Solanum lycopersicum: one gene and its partner. The protein of the gene in region 2 binds, or shares a complex with, the protein of the main gene of each other region. Links are inferred from orthologs where the notes say so. Each region holds a gene or a part of one and is shown on either strand. Other genes may lie near its edges.

Region 1 (6,330 bases), on a different chromosome or scaffold from region 2:
TTTTTTGATCAGGTAAATAAAATTTTCATCAAAGATTGGAACTTAATGATTTTTTCTTTGATCAGGTAAATAAATTTTTCTTCAAAGATTGGAACTTAATGATTTTTTCTTTGATCAGGTAACTAAATTTTATATGAAAGATTGGAACTTAATGACAACAGCATCATGCATAAATCAAGAGACCACAGAATACAGTGAAGTACACTGTGATCACAGAAAGATCATGTTTTCCACCTAAAGAGTAATAAGGCCATAAGTCAAAACTAATTATTATACTTCTATAAGTAGAGAGCTAAAGTTACATCAATAATTATTTTATCATGCGGAGACAGAAAGCAAAATTAAAATTCACAGAGAGCTACTAACCTGAATATATGGATAAGTGTTGGCTGCAGCTTTATCACCGATGAGCATTGAATCACACTGGGAGGAATTCCGAGCATTCTCTGCACTTGATAAGACCTGAACTAGTCCTCTGTAACAATTTCTAGAATTTCCTGCAGAAATACCCTTTGAAATAATCCTACTCCTCGTATTCTTCCCTTTGTGTACCATCTTTGTTCCTGTATCTGCCTGCTGATAGTTGTTGGTCAATGCCACAGAATAGAATTCACCAACTGATTCATCACCCTCTAATACAACACTTGGATACTTCCAGGTAATAGCTGAGCCAGTCTCAACTTGTGTCCATGATATCTTCGATCTAGCCCCAGCACATATTCCTCTCTTTGTAACGAAATTATAAATCCCTCCTCTCCCTTCCTCATCTCCAGCGTACCAATTCTGCACGGTTGAGTACTTAATCTCTGCACCTTCATGGCAATACAATTCCACCACAGCAGCATGTAACTGATTTGTATCATATGAAGGTGCTGTACACCCTTCTAAATACTCAACGAAACTCCCTTCATCCGCAACAATCAAAGTCCTCTCGAATTGCCCAGTTTCCATTGCATTTATTCTAAAATAAGTAGATATTTGCATAGGACACTTGGTGTTCTTGGGTATATACACAAATGATCCATCACTAAACACAGCTGAATTAAGAGCCGCGTAAAAATTGTCTTCTGGGGGCACAACTCTAAACAAATACTTCCTGACTAAATCTGGATATTCCCTAATAGCCTCAGAAATCGAACAAAAAATCACACCAGACTTCTCTAAGGTCTTCCTATGAGTTGTAGCAATAGAAACACTATCAAGAACAGCATCAACTGCAACATTTGCTAAACGATTTCTTTCATTCAAAGGAATACCCAATTTATCAAAATACCTAACAAGCTCAGGGTCAGCCTCATCAAGACTATCTAAAGTTGGTTTCTTTTTAGGTTCTGAATAATAACAAATATTCTGAAAATCAATTTCTGGGTACTGATTATCAGACCATTTCGGCTCTTTCATTTTAACAAATTTCTCATACGATTTCAATCTATACTCAAGCATCCATTCAGGCTCATTCTTTCTTGATGAAATTAACCTAATAGTATCCTCCGAAAGCCCTTTTGGCAGCGCAAAAGATTCAATATTTTCATTAAAACCCCATTTATAGTCTCTTTTCAAGAATTTCTGAAGTGGGTCGCCTTCATTTGAGATTGATAAAGATGATTCTTTACCTGGAACTTCAACAGTGGCCTTCGCATCAGCAGCTTTAATCTTGAAATTACCTGGATTTGAGATTTTGGGGCCGGGTGAATTAGGCAAAAAGTTATACCCTTTTGGGAGTTTAGGCTGCTCAGCGATGGATTGAGGACAGAAGTGTGAGATTCCGTTGGTGAGAAGAGAAGCCATAGTTGATGCTTAGAAGATAGAAAGAAGCAGGATGAGAAGGCAAACATAAATTTTATTTGTTTCTTTTTTAATTTTTTGTGGTGTCTGATCTAAGATGTCGTATGCTGACCACGTGCATCTTTTCAAAGCCTAAATTACAACAACAAAAAAAAAACAATTAAAAAAAATAGTAAAGCTAAATTATTTTTGTTGCATTTTATGTCATTTAAGCGCTCACTTGATAATGATAAAGTCAGACTTTATGTTGAAAGGTTTAAAATAAAAACAAGTAAATGTGAAGAGTTATGACTGGTGTTTGTGCATGTTACTTTACAAATTAGGACTGGTGTTTGTGCATTATCTATAAGAACGGTGAAACTCAGAAAGTGACGAAATTTACTCAGAAATTCAATGGCGTTCATAAGAGAAATTTGTAAAATCCTGGGGAAAATCGTATAAGAGAGAAAATCGTCTAAGAAAAAAAAAGGGAAATCGTATTATGTTTTAGAGAAGTAAAATGAATGAAAATGAGAAAAAAATTAATAATTAAGATTTATGAGTCTACATGGAGATGATGTTTTTTGGTGCTCATGTGGCATCCATATGGTGTCCACGTGGCGTTCAGGTGACACTTAACACACCTTTGTTAAAATTAAGGGTAAAAATAACTCAATACTTTAATAGAAGGGCTAGAATTTAATTTAAAGATATATGTGAGCTAATTCGGATAATTCAGAAATATTTTTGAGCATTTTTCGTAAAATTTAATTGAAATAATGGTTAATTTTAGGTCTAATTTTAAAACAATTGTAACAGATTATCGAATCTACTTCGGCTCTACCCGGACCTCCAATTCTAGGGTTTTCAGGTAAGTTCTTCTCCTCTGTTTTCTATTCCTTTGTTCGATCTTTTCTCAAAATTCACCATTTTTGTTAGCAATAAAGGGAAGGATTTGGAAGATGGATATCATATCACAGTTACAGGAACAAGTAAATACAATTGCAGCTCTTGCTTTCAACACCTTTGGTACTCTTCAGAGGGACGCCCCTCCTGTGCGTCTATCACCTAATTATCCAGAACCTCCACCTGCTAATCCCACAGAAGACTCAGCTAATGTTGCAGAACAACCAAAGCAAATGAGTGCTGCTTTTGTTAAGGCTGCCAAGCAGGTGAAACTCCATACTCCATACCTTCACTTTTTCTGCTTATTCATCAACGAATATGAACAAGCCACAGACCAGGGTATAAAAGTAATCTGCGTGTACTTCGAGAATAGGGAATTTTCTCTTTTTTCGGAAGATCAAGATAAACTATTTAGTTTAGTTTCCTTTTTTGTGTAGACATTTTTTTTGTAAATGAGCCTGAATAAGTGATTGAACTTGTAGAATCCCTTTAAGAATAGGAAGGTATATCTTTGTGTTCCCTGTAAATGTTGTTGATTGCACCTTCTTGGTGCTGTATTACAAATGCACTTACCATTCCTTCAAAAAATCATTTTTGGACAAAATAATGTTTCTTTTGTCTTCTTTTGACTAGTATGTTTACTTTTGGAAACGTCAAATCTTTAGATATATGATGTGTTTGTGCAGTTCTATACAAGATAACACTAAGTTGTATCTTGGCTCATCATATCTAATGCGTACATGCAGTTCTATACCAGATGATATTAAGTCTTTGTTTGTTCAGACTTGAGACCTGCGTGGTTGAGTTCAAAGACCTTAGTCCTGATTCCTGAGACCAGTGTGGTTGAGTTCAAATACCTAGTCTTTTGTCCTTAGTTTAACGAGAAATACAATAATGCTATTAGCATCACCAACTACTTCAATAAAACTTGACTGAATCACATAATGGCGGACAAATTCCAACTACTAGCTGGACAGGATTGCATGCCTCTAGGGATTTTTACTAGAGAACTTGATGTCAGCCTCTCAGGTTTGGTAACCATGACATCTAGGCCAAGACTCACCGGGTAAACCTGGTGTCAAAACCGGAAAACTGAGTTCTAGTTTATCGCCCTTTAGCTGTCTTCTATGAAATGTATATGGACAACCCTGTGATTAGTTCTAAGGTGTTCAAGTTTACAGTTATGTTTCCCTTGTTTTCTTCTTGGCCTCACAATCAGAGGTTGTCTAATCTAGCATCCTATCAAACTTAAGCAGCACAGCCGACACTTGAGAGTAGCCTTGAGGATTGTGTGGCTCTAATTCAGACCAATTGCAAATTTTCATTGTGATCCTAAAGTGTATGCTTTGCTACAATGTCATTGTATTAAATCTATCTTCTCTTTTTCTTATCCTTCTTTGAGCAGTTCGATGTGTTGGTTGCTGCTCTTCCTTTATCGGATGGGAGTGAAGAAGCCCAATTGAAAAGAATTGCAGAACTCCAGGTATATGCTTCTTTGTGAATAATTGGTGGAATTCACTTTTTGACATCCTCTAATTCTGATGTGTTATAGCTTAACAGTATTTAAACTAAAAAAATAAAGAAGGATAAATAAAGATTAGTCTGTCTATTTTGGGCTTAGTAGTCTTACTCGGTTGTGTATGTATGTGATGTAGGCTGAGAACGATGCAGTTGGCCAAGAACTTCAAAAACAACTGGAAGCTGCAGGTAAGAGTTTGTTTTTCCCTTGCTTTCTTTCTGAAAGATAGTGGAAGCTGTTCTGATTAGGCTAAGGTCCAAATTTCCGTTTTCCTGTCTGTATTATTAATTTTTTGTTTATTCTGAGACTCAGTTTGCTGATTTTGGTGATTTAGAGAAGGAGCTAAAGCAGGTCCAGGAGTTGTTTAACCAAGCAACAGATAACTGCCTGAACTTGAAGAAGCCAGAATGAATAAGGTAGTAGATATTTCAGTTTGCTTGAGGAGCCCATTCTTGCTGGAATATACCCTGGAGGAACAACAAATTGATTGTGTCCATGTCTGTTATGGGTACATTTATTAACTAATTATAATTAGGCATGCTCTGACATTATTTTTTTTTTAAGTTCTTGGCCACTGCTGAAGAAAAGAATTCAGTATACTATTGTATCTGGTTTAGAGCTGTGTTTATAGAATGAAAAGAGGTAGGGATAATGTGCCTAAATAGCAAAAATCAGCAGTTTTTTTGTCTCCACATCCTTAAATATTAGTGTCTTCTGTGCCACGTGTTCAATTTAGAAGTTGGCTAGTTTCTCTGCTCCAGCACTTGTCAAAAGTTATGCAATTATCAGACTGACTTCGTAAACATGTGATCCCAAAACATGGCAGCTGGCATGCACAACTACCCTACCGAGTTGATGATTTTAATTCGTAGACACATTTTGGGCTGTGTCTGGGTACTTTGGGAGTTTAGATTGCATATCGCCAGAATATTTTCTTGTCGTGCTGGAACTGAGGCGTGGCCGAAAACAAGTAGCAACCACACAAAATATATAGAAAACCTTGTCTGCCTAATATGTAAGCGTGACAGCAACGAAGAGAAGAATTTACAGCCATCGGGGTTTGTTGAATGCTAAAATTTAGATAGAACGTGGGTCCAACTATGACTGGTAGAAGGACTCAACCACGTCATATGACAATTGGCATCAATACATGAATGAAGAAACTAACGCAGGAGACGTATTGAAGACTACAATACATAAGACATTTTTATCAAAATAAAACTATCACGGAAATCATTCAGACGATTGCAATTATTTTGGAGGAAACATTAGTAAGAATTGCTATTGAAAGGTGAACCAAAATGAGCAACGAGCAAAATAGGGTGTTCAGCATTGCCAGGATAGCCAAAAAGCACAAGTATACAGTTACATGCCTACACTTCTCCAAAGACCTTCAAGTATATCTAGATCTCATATCTAAGTAATAAAAGGGCAACGCAAAAATAAAAAAACAAACAGCATACAATCAGTTGATCGAAACCATAAATTGTATCCTCAATGAAATAGCCTACAAAGGTTTCCAACACCCTAAGATTGTGAAATACACATCTGGATCCCAACTGATAACCTCATGTCCCGCTTTTGAAATCAATACACAAATCACGCCGGGAAGCACTCAGTAAATCCTTTCACCAGCATATATCACTGCAAGGAGGAAGTGAGATAAGTATTCAAACAACTCATTATTTTTTATGAAAAAACTATTATCAGTTTAAGAACCCATTTGGCCATACAAGTAAAAAGATATTATCTCATAAAATTTCAGTCATTTCTATTCCAAAATGGAGATGTCGGTATAAAGTAGCTTTAGTTAATAAATAAGCTCAACGGGTTAATCAAACCTGAGGATGCTGCAAAACTTGCTGCTGCTGTTGAGGTTGTGCGTAATTTCCATATCCAGCATAGCCCGCATAATACTGATTTGGATCCTGAGCAGGGGGGGCATAACCATAACCTTCATATCCAGCAGTATACCCATAATAACCAGCATATTGGTTTGGATCAAGCTGAGGCTGCACATACCAGAGATGAAACATAAGATTCAGATTGGTATTTGACTGGCAAGTGCCGAAAACAGAAATTATAATTTTGGCATTCCTTACCTGCTGCTTGTTTGCAGGACTTCGACCCCATGAAAGACG
Region 2 (5,774 bases):
GATCTCTGGCTCTGAATTTCAATGAAACAAAAGTATATTCATTCCTTTACTAAAAATAAATAATTTTCTGAAGAATTTGATTAATATGAGATGCCAAGCTTATGGAATCTCATTTCTCTATATCATGCATGATAATGCATAATACCAGGCCTATCTGGTTTATTGGCTCGCAGTGGGTCCATACTATTCGTGAGTGGTTATTATTGCTGTTGACATCAACAGCTTGAGCTTTCTGCCCCACTAACGTCATAGTTCCACCCATAGGTTAATGAATGTAGTCATTTTGCTAATTATTTGAAGTCTTAGCTCAACACTATTATTTCTCCTAATGATTGGCGTCTGTCTTTCCATTTATAGAAAGGGAAAATCTAATCCATTTTCATGGTTCATGCTACAGTGGTAGAACAACTGCAAATTATTGTCTGACCTATTGAAACAAGTTATGTTCCGTCTCCTTTCTGAGTATGATAGAAAGACGAATACTATGGAATGAGAACAAAAGGAATGGCGTTACAGTATCCAGAGAGTGATATTTTACTTCTGCAGAGAATTGCTGTGTTAATATCCGTTTCTCCTTCATTATGGCATGAATAAGAGAAATTCACTTGAGTTATGATCCAAAAAATGAGAAAAAGAAGACTGAAAAAATCTCAAGTGTTATAGAGTGAAAACAATAGTTTATTTATGTTCAGTTTGCATAACATTTCTGTTTGCAGTTTCCCATGGGATGTTCCGCTTCCTGCATATGCGGTCATTCTAATTATGAACCTCACCATGATTGTAAGGGCTTTTCATTCACATTAAGAATGCTCTTAGAATCCCTTATATTCTAGAATATGCTAAGATCATGTAAATGTACTATAGCTTGATTTATTCCTGTAATTATGTTTTTAATTCTATTTCCCTTCTTAGAACACACACTTTTCTATTAGAACTCCAATGGCTTAGAGAATAATCAAGCTTTGCTCTCTCTCATTTTCTCTTTCCTTCTCACCGTGATCACTTTCAAGTAAGTGTTGTAGTTATTTGCAATTTATTGGAATAGTGACTTATTTTGTTAAAATTCCAAACAGATTAACTTACTTGACAGTAAGGAGCTCCAACAAAGAGTGAAAGTTTATCTCTTAAATCGTGGCCCGCCTGAGCATTGGCTTTCCCCTGGACCTTTCAAGCGTGTGGAATTGCAGAAAGCTCTTGGAAATTATCTGTCATGGAAGGAGAGGTAACAAAGTGAACATTTTTTGTTCTTCAGTGTTTTCTTTTGTTTGGTTGTTTGAAATGTTTATACTTCAGCCGGAGGTCTATCAGAAACAACCTCTTTACCTCTTAAGGTAGGGGTAAGGTCTGTGTAAACTCGAACCTCCCATACCCCACTTGTGGTATTACATGTTGTTTAACATCTTGGACATTATCATGTGCAATAAAAAAGTTCGTTATAGTTGGTGAATGTCGAAATTTTAATCGTCAAACCAAGTATCTCTTTGGTTATGTCCAATGCTTATGCATAGCTTCTATTACCATTGTTATACTAACATTTATTTTATGTAAAAGTGAGTAAATAAATACACCCATGTTTGACTTGATACAACTTCAATTGGATCAAAATGAACTTTTTAGCTCAGATTCAGTTTTCAATGTTTTATCATCAGTATAAAAGTTCTACATTTTTTTGTTCAAATGTATTTCTGATACTGGATCAGACAGATTTATATGATTCTCCTGATCGAATCAATTGAGATTCAACTTCATCTGTTTGATGTATTAGAATTGCATTTAGATACCCAAGATAATAACCTACTATCTTGTCTGAATTGACATGGAGATGGTGCTTTGTTACATCTTTGTGTAGAAGTACACACGGTGCTGAAAAATTTATAGTGACACTTTTAGTGTCATCCTTGAAGTTTTCTGAGGCTCTGGCTAACTTGGTTGACTAGTACAACAAAACCCACTTGACATTTATCTTGGAGAATCGATCCAATTAAACATAATTTGCTGCAACACACATCTTTTGAGCTCTGATCATTGGAAAATGCATAAAAATTCCTCTAGTTATATTTAAATTATTCACATGCTTATTGTTACCACTTCTCTTAAATATGTGATCACTGTTCTATCAAGTCCTTGAATAACATTATCACACACATTTACACCCAAGTGGTGTAGCAAACTCCAAATTCTTTTAAGGGAAAAAGGACAAATATAACCCCGAACTATCGTTAATAGTATATAAATACCCTTCGTCATACTTTTCGTTCATTAATACCCTACCGTCCGAAAATCAGTGCACATTTACCCCTCCCACTAACGGAAACCTTATTTAGTACACCTGTCGCAATCCTACCGCTCAACCTGATTTAATTAATTATTTAACCCAAAATTCAATATCCACCCATACCCATTTAACCCACCCAATTTACCCATTACCCATTTAACCCACTCAATTTACCCATTACCCATTTAACCCACTCAGTTTACCCATTACACACAAATAAACCCATTTTCTTAAGTCATCTTCTTTATCTAGAACATTCATTATTATCAGGCCTCAACCACCATGAACGCTCACTCTGAAACTCAAGCAAGAATTGAAAAACTAATTCCAACTAGATTAAATCCTCAACTTTCGACAGTCTACGCCAGCAAGAGTTAATTTTCAGTCACCGTCTTCTCATACGAACTTGAATTTATGAGATCTAATCGACATATTCTCTGCAAGAATCTGTTGACCCACTTGCTATACCCAATGTTCCACTCACTTCCCCACTAGTTTTTGCTTCTTTTTGCCCCCACACTCCACTTCTCTGCTCTGCATGTTTTTGTGATGATTGTTGTTGTTTCTATGCTGGTAGTGGTGTTTTGCGGCTGCCATTGGAATTACTGCTTGGCCTCATGGTGGTCGAGTAAATATGATTCTAAAATTACTAATGCACAAACTATTGAATTTGAAACTTGTTTTGATCTGTTCCTACTTCGTTGAGATGGCCCTACTCTTCCAAGCACTTCCTATCTGCTTGCTGCCAAGTTCCAATTACTTTTCGTTTTCCGGAGAAGTTCCAGCAGCTTCTGACCTATCCAACAACTTTCTTGCATTTCTGAACATATTTTTAAGAAAGCTTCCAGAATGAACTAATGTAGTGTCTTGGATACATATCTTTACGATATGTTTGGAAGTTCCAGATTCTTGTTAAATAGTTAGAAGATTAAGTTGTCATGATTATTCTTGTAGATGTATCTAGAGCATCCCTACACAAGTATAAATAGGGGTGGCAGTCCTTTGTAGTTAACCCAAAAGAAAAATATCCACCTCGAAGCAATTCGTGCCAATTCAAAAAGTCTTCATCCATAACAAAGTTCTACTATCTTAATTCTTCCTTCTCCTTTCATAGCTTCCTCTCTTCAGTGGAATCTTCCTACCATAATTAACGATCTTGGCTAGCAGAAGGTTTTTCCAATTATATTTTCTTTTGTTATTCTCTACAATATCATGCCTTTGAGAACAAGTCTAAGAAGGTTAGGTGCCTGCACACCTAATCCCTTGATTTCTACTACCAAAGCTATTGCTAATCATCAATAGTAGTTCCTTCCATATTCTAGCAAGGAAACATAATAAACATCGTGAATTCAACACTATGGTTCCCATACCCTTTGCTGCCCATGATTATTTACACAACTAACTTCAGTTCTTAGGCTACAGGTTCAAAATTCAAGACTAAATTCAAGTTTACTCATGAAAATTTGTCTATTTCCTTCTGTCTGCTAAAATCTTCTTGGTAGATTACTGAGTCCGAATTTAATCTTTTCAAGTAGCTGTATACTATGTGGCTTTTTTTCCATAAACGTGAGCCAATATGAAAATGCAGTTTTTGAACCTAAATGAGGAGACCATTACAAGTATGCAAAACCCTTTGTGCCGTGGTATGCGTCGCAGAAGAAACTACCTGTACTTGGCTCACTGACAGCTTTTTTCTGCATCTTCTACGGCATGGGAATTTCTTCCACTGCTTTATCAATATGAACTTTCTGCCTCTATCTTCCTGAAGTACGAAGTTTAATATGTCCATGTCATAGGAGGCCCACAGTAGTACTAGCAACTTGGTTTTACTTTTATTTGACATCCTGTTTTTGTAGATGTTGTCGTTGTGTGATCAAAGGGTCACAAGTTCAAGCCATGGAAACTCACTCTCGCAGTAATGGTTGGTAAGGGTGTTCACAATGGACTTAATGTGGTTCGGTCTTCCCCAAACCCAGGCGTGGTGCACCCGGCTTCCCCTTTTGTTTAGACCCTGGTTCCGCCAAACATCCTGTAACACATGTTTGTTGCCTTGAACTTGATCTTTATATCATTTGAAACTTGTTCGTGATTCAGGGTATTACGCGTTCACTGTCCGTCTAACGATTCATTTAATACTGTAAATTTTTGGGGTACATAAATTCATGTCATCTCACATACATCAGACACATATGGGACACATGAGGACTCTGAATGTCCATATCTTATGTATTCTTCTCCCTTTAGAAATTTGATAAGATGCGGAAAGACTTCTTCAGAAAACTACTTCTCAGGATACACATTCTTCCACTATTTCTAGTTCAATGAGATGAACAAGTGATAAATTTTCTAGTTTTTGTAGTACAGTTTGTTCAGCTCCCTTGAGATTTTTGCAAATGTTTTCCTCTATAGCCACGACAATATCACATACTTTAAGACTATCACTCTTTCAGATATGTTTAGTTGCTGACATCGGAAAACTAGACACATCTTTTATTGAAAAGAGTTTACTTCAAGGATAGCTCAGTTTGAAGTCATCCATAGAATTACAATCCACGTATGATACTGTTTTCTGAGTACAAACTTTATGCACTTCCAAGGTCTTTTATATTTAGCAGGCTAATAGTAGAAGAGTGTGAAGGATTAACAGGGTTAAAATGAGTCCTAAGGAACCCTAGTTTTCAAAATGATTGAAGATACATGAGTGTTTTTGTCATTAATAATTATCTGACTTGTTCTCTCTTACTGGGTCTTTTAAATATATAGTCCAAATGCATAAGGATAAAAGGGTTTAAAGGTAAATTCTCAAGGAACTATCTGATTTTCAAAATTATCACTGTCTTATAAGACGAGTTTGATGCCAAAGCAGGCTTTTACATCTATGCAGTTTGGTCATTTTTAGATGATATAAAATCACATGATTGGCTTAATAACATTTGAGCTGATTCAAAATCATCAAAAAATTCAAAAATAAATCATCAAAACAATTAGTGGTTGTTTGGTAGCTAATTAGAATTATACCGGTATTAGCAATGCATGAATTAGTTACAAGGTAATTTATGTATTTTTTGATGACCAAACAACGAGATAATTTATGTATACTTGCATAAAATAATACTTAGATTCTCTTGTAACTTATACGAGTATTATTTATGCATGTTTCTAAATCGCAAATCAATCACCGTTTTAATTTGATACATGAATAACTTACCTCATAACCAACTACCAAACATGGTATTGGTTATGCAATATTTGATACCTGCATAACTCACTTCCAATTCAGCTACCAAATGAACCCTTATTTATTACACCTAGCAACTTCTTGAGCTCTCCTTCAGGCTTTAACTAATTAACTTTATTTCTTTTTATTGTCTATGATCCATATTATATGGTATTTTTAACTTTTATTTTTACTTCTAATATAAATGTTCTGTTACATAATCAAGAAAACATTATTTTCATTTTTTTGAAATACCCTTAGTTAGATAAGTAAATTTTGACA

Evidence for each region. The genes of interacting proteins can lie anywhere in the genome.
Region 1: mediator of RNA polymerase II transcription subunit 23 (region 2) and mediator of RNA polymerase II transcription subunit 21 share a complex: the UniProt entries of both Arabidopsis thaliana proteins name them as parts of the mediator complex. The link is inferred for Solanum lycopersicum from reciprocal best matches to the Arabidopsis thaliana genes AT1G23230 and MED21.

The regions. Positions count from the first base shown.
Region 1 is NC_090801.1:60,838,916-60,845,245, reverse strand, and holds mediator of RNA polymerase II transcription subunit 21, read left to right. Parts: upstream 1-2,726; coding exon 2,727-2,936; intron 2,937-4,075; coding exon 4,076-4,153; intron 4,154-4,325; coding exon 4,326-4,377; intron 4,378-4,501; coding exon of another isoform or gene 4,502-4,509; exon of another isoform or gene 4,510-4,523; coding exon 4,524-4,600; 3' UTR 4,601-4,881; downstream 4,882-6,330. Other genes in the region: iron-sulfur cluster assembly SufBD family protein ABCI8, chloroplastic, read right to left, coding at 367-1,788; polyadenylate-binding protein RBP45, read right to left, coding at 5,831-5,833, 6,031-6,201, 6,292-6,330. UniProt on the Arabidopsis thaliana protein: Component of the Mediator complex, a coactivator involved in the regulated transcription of nearly all RNA polymerase II-dependent genes.
Region 2 is NC_090804.1:17,738,247-17,744,020, reverse strand, and holds part of mediator of RNA polymerase II transcription subunit 23, read left to right. Parts: intron 1-1,073; coding exon 1,074-1,222; intron 1,223-5,774. UniProt on the Arabidopsis thaliana protein: Component of the Mediator complex, a coactivator involved in the regulated transcription of nearly all RNA polymerase II-dependent genes.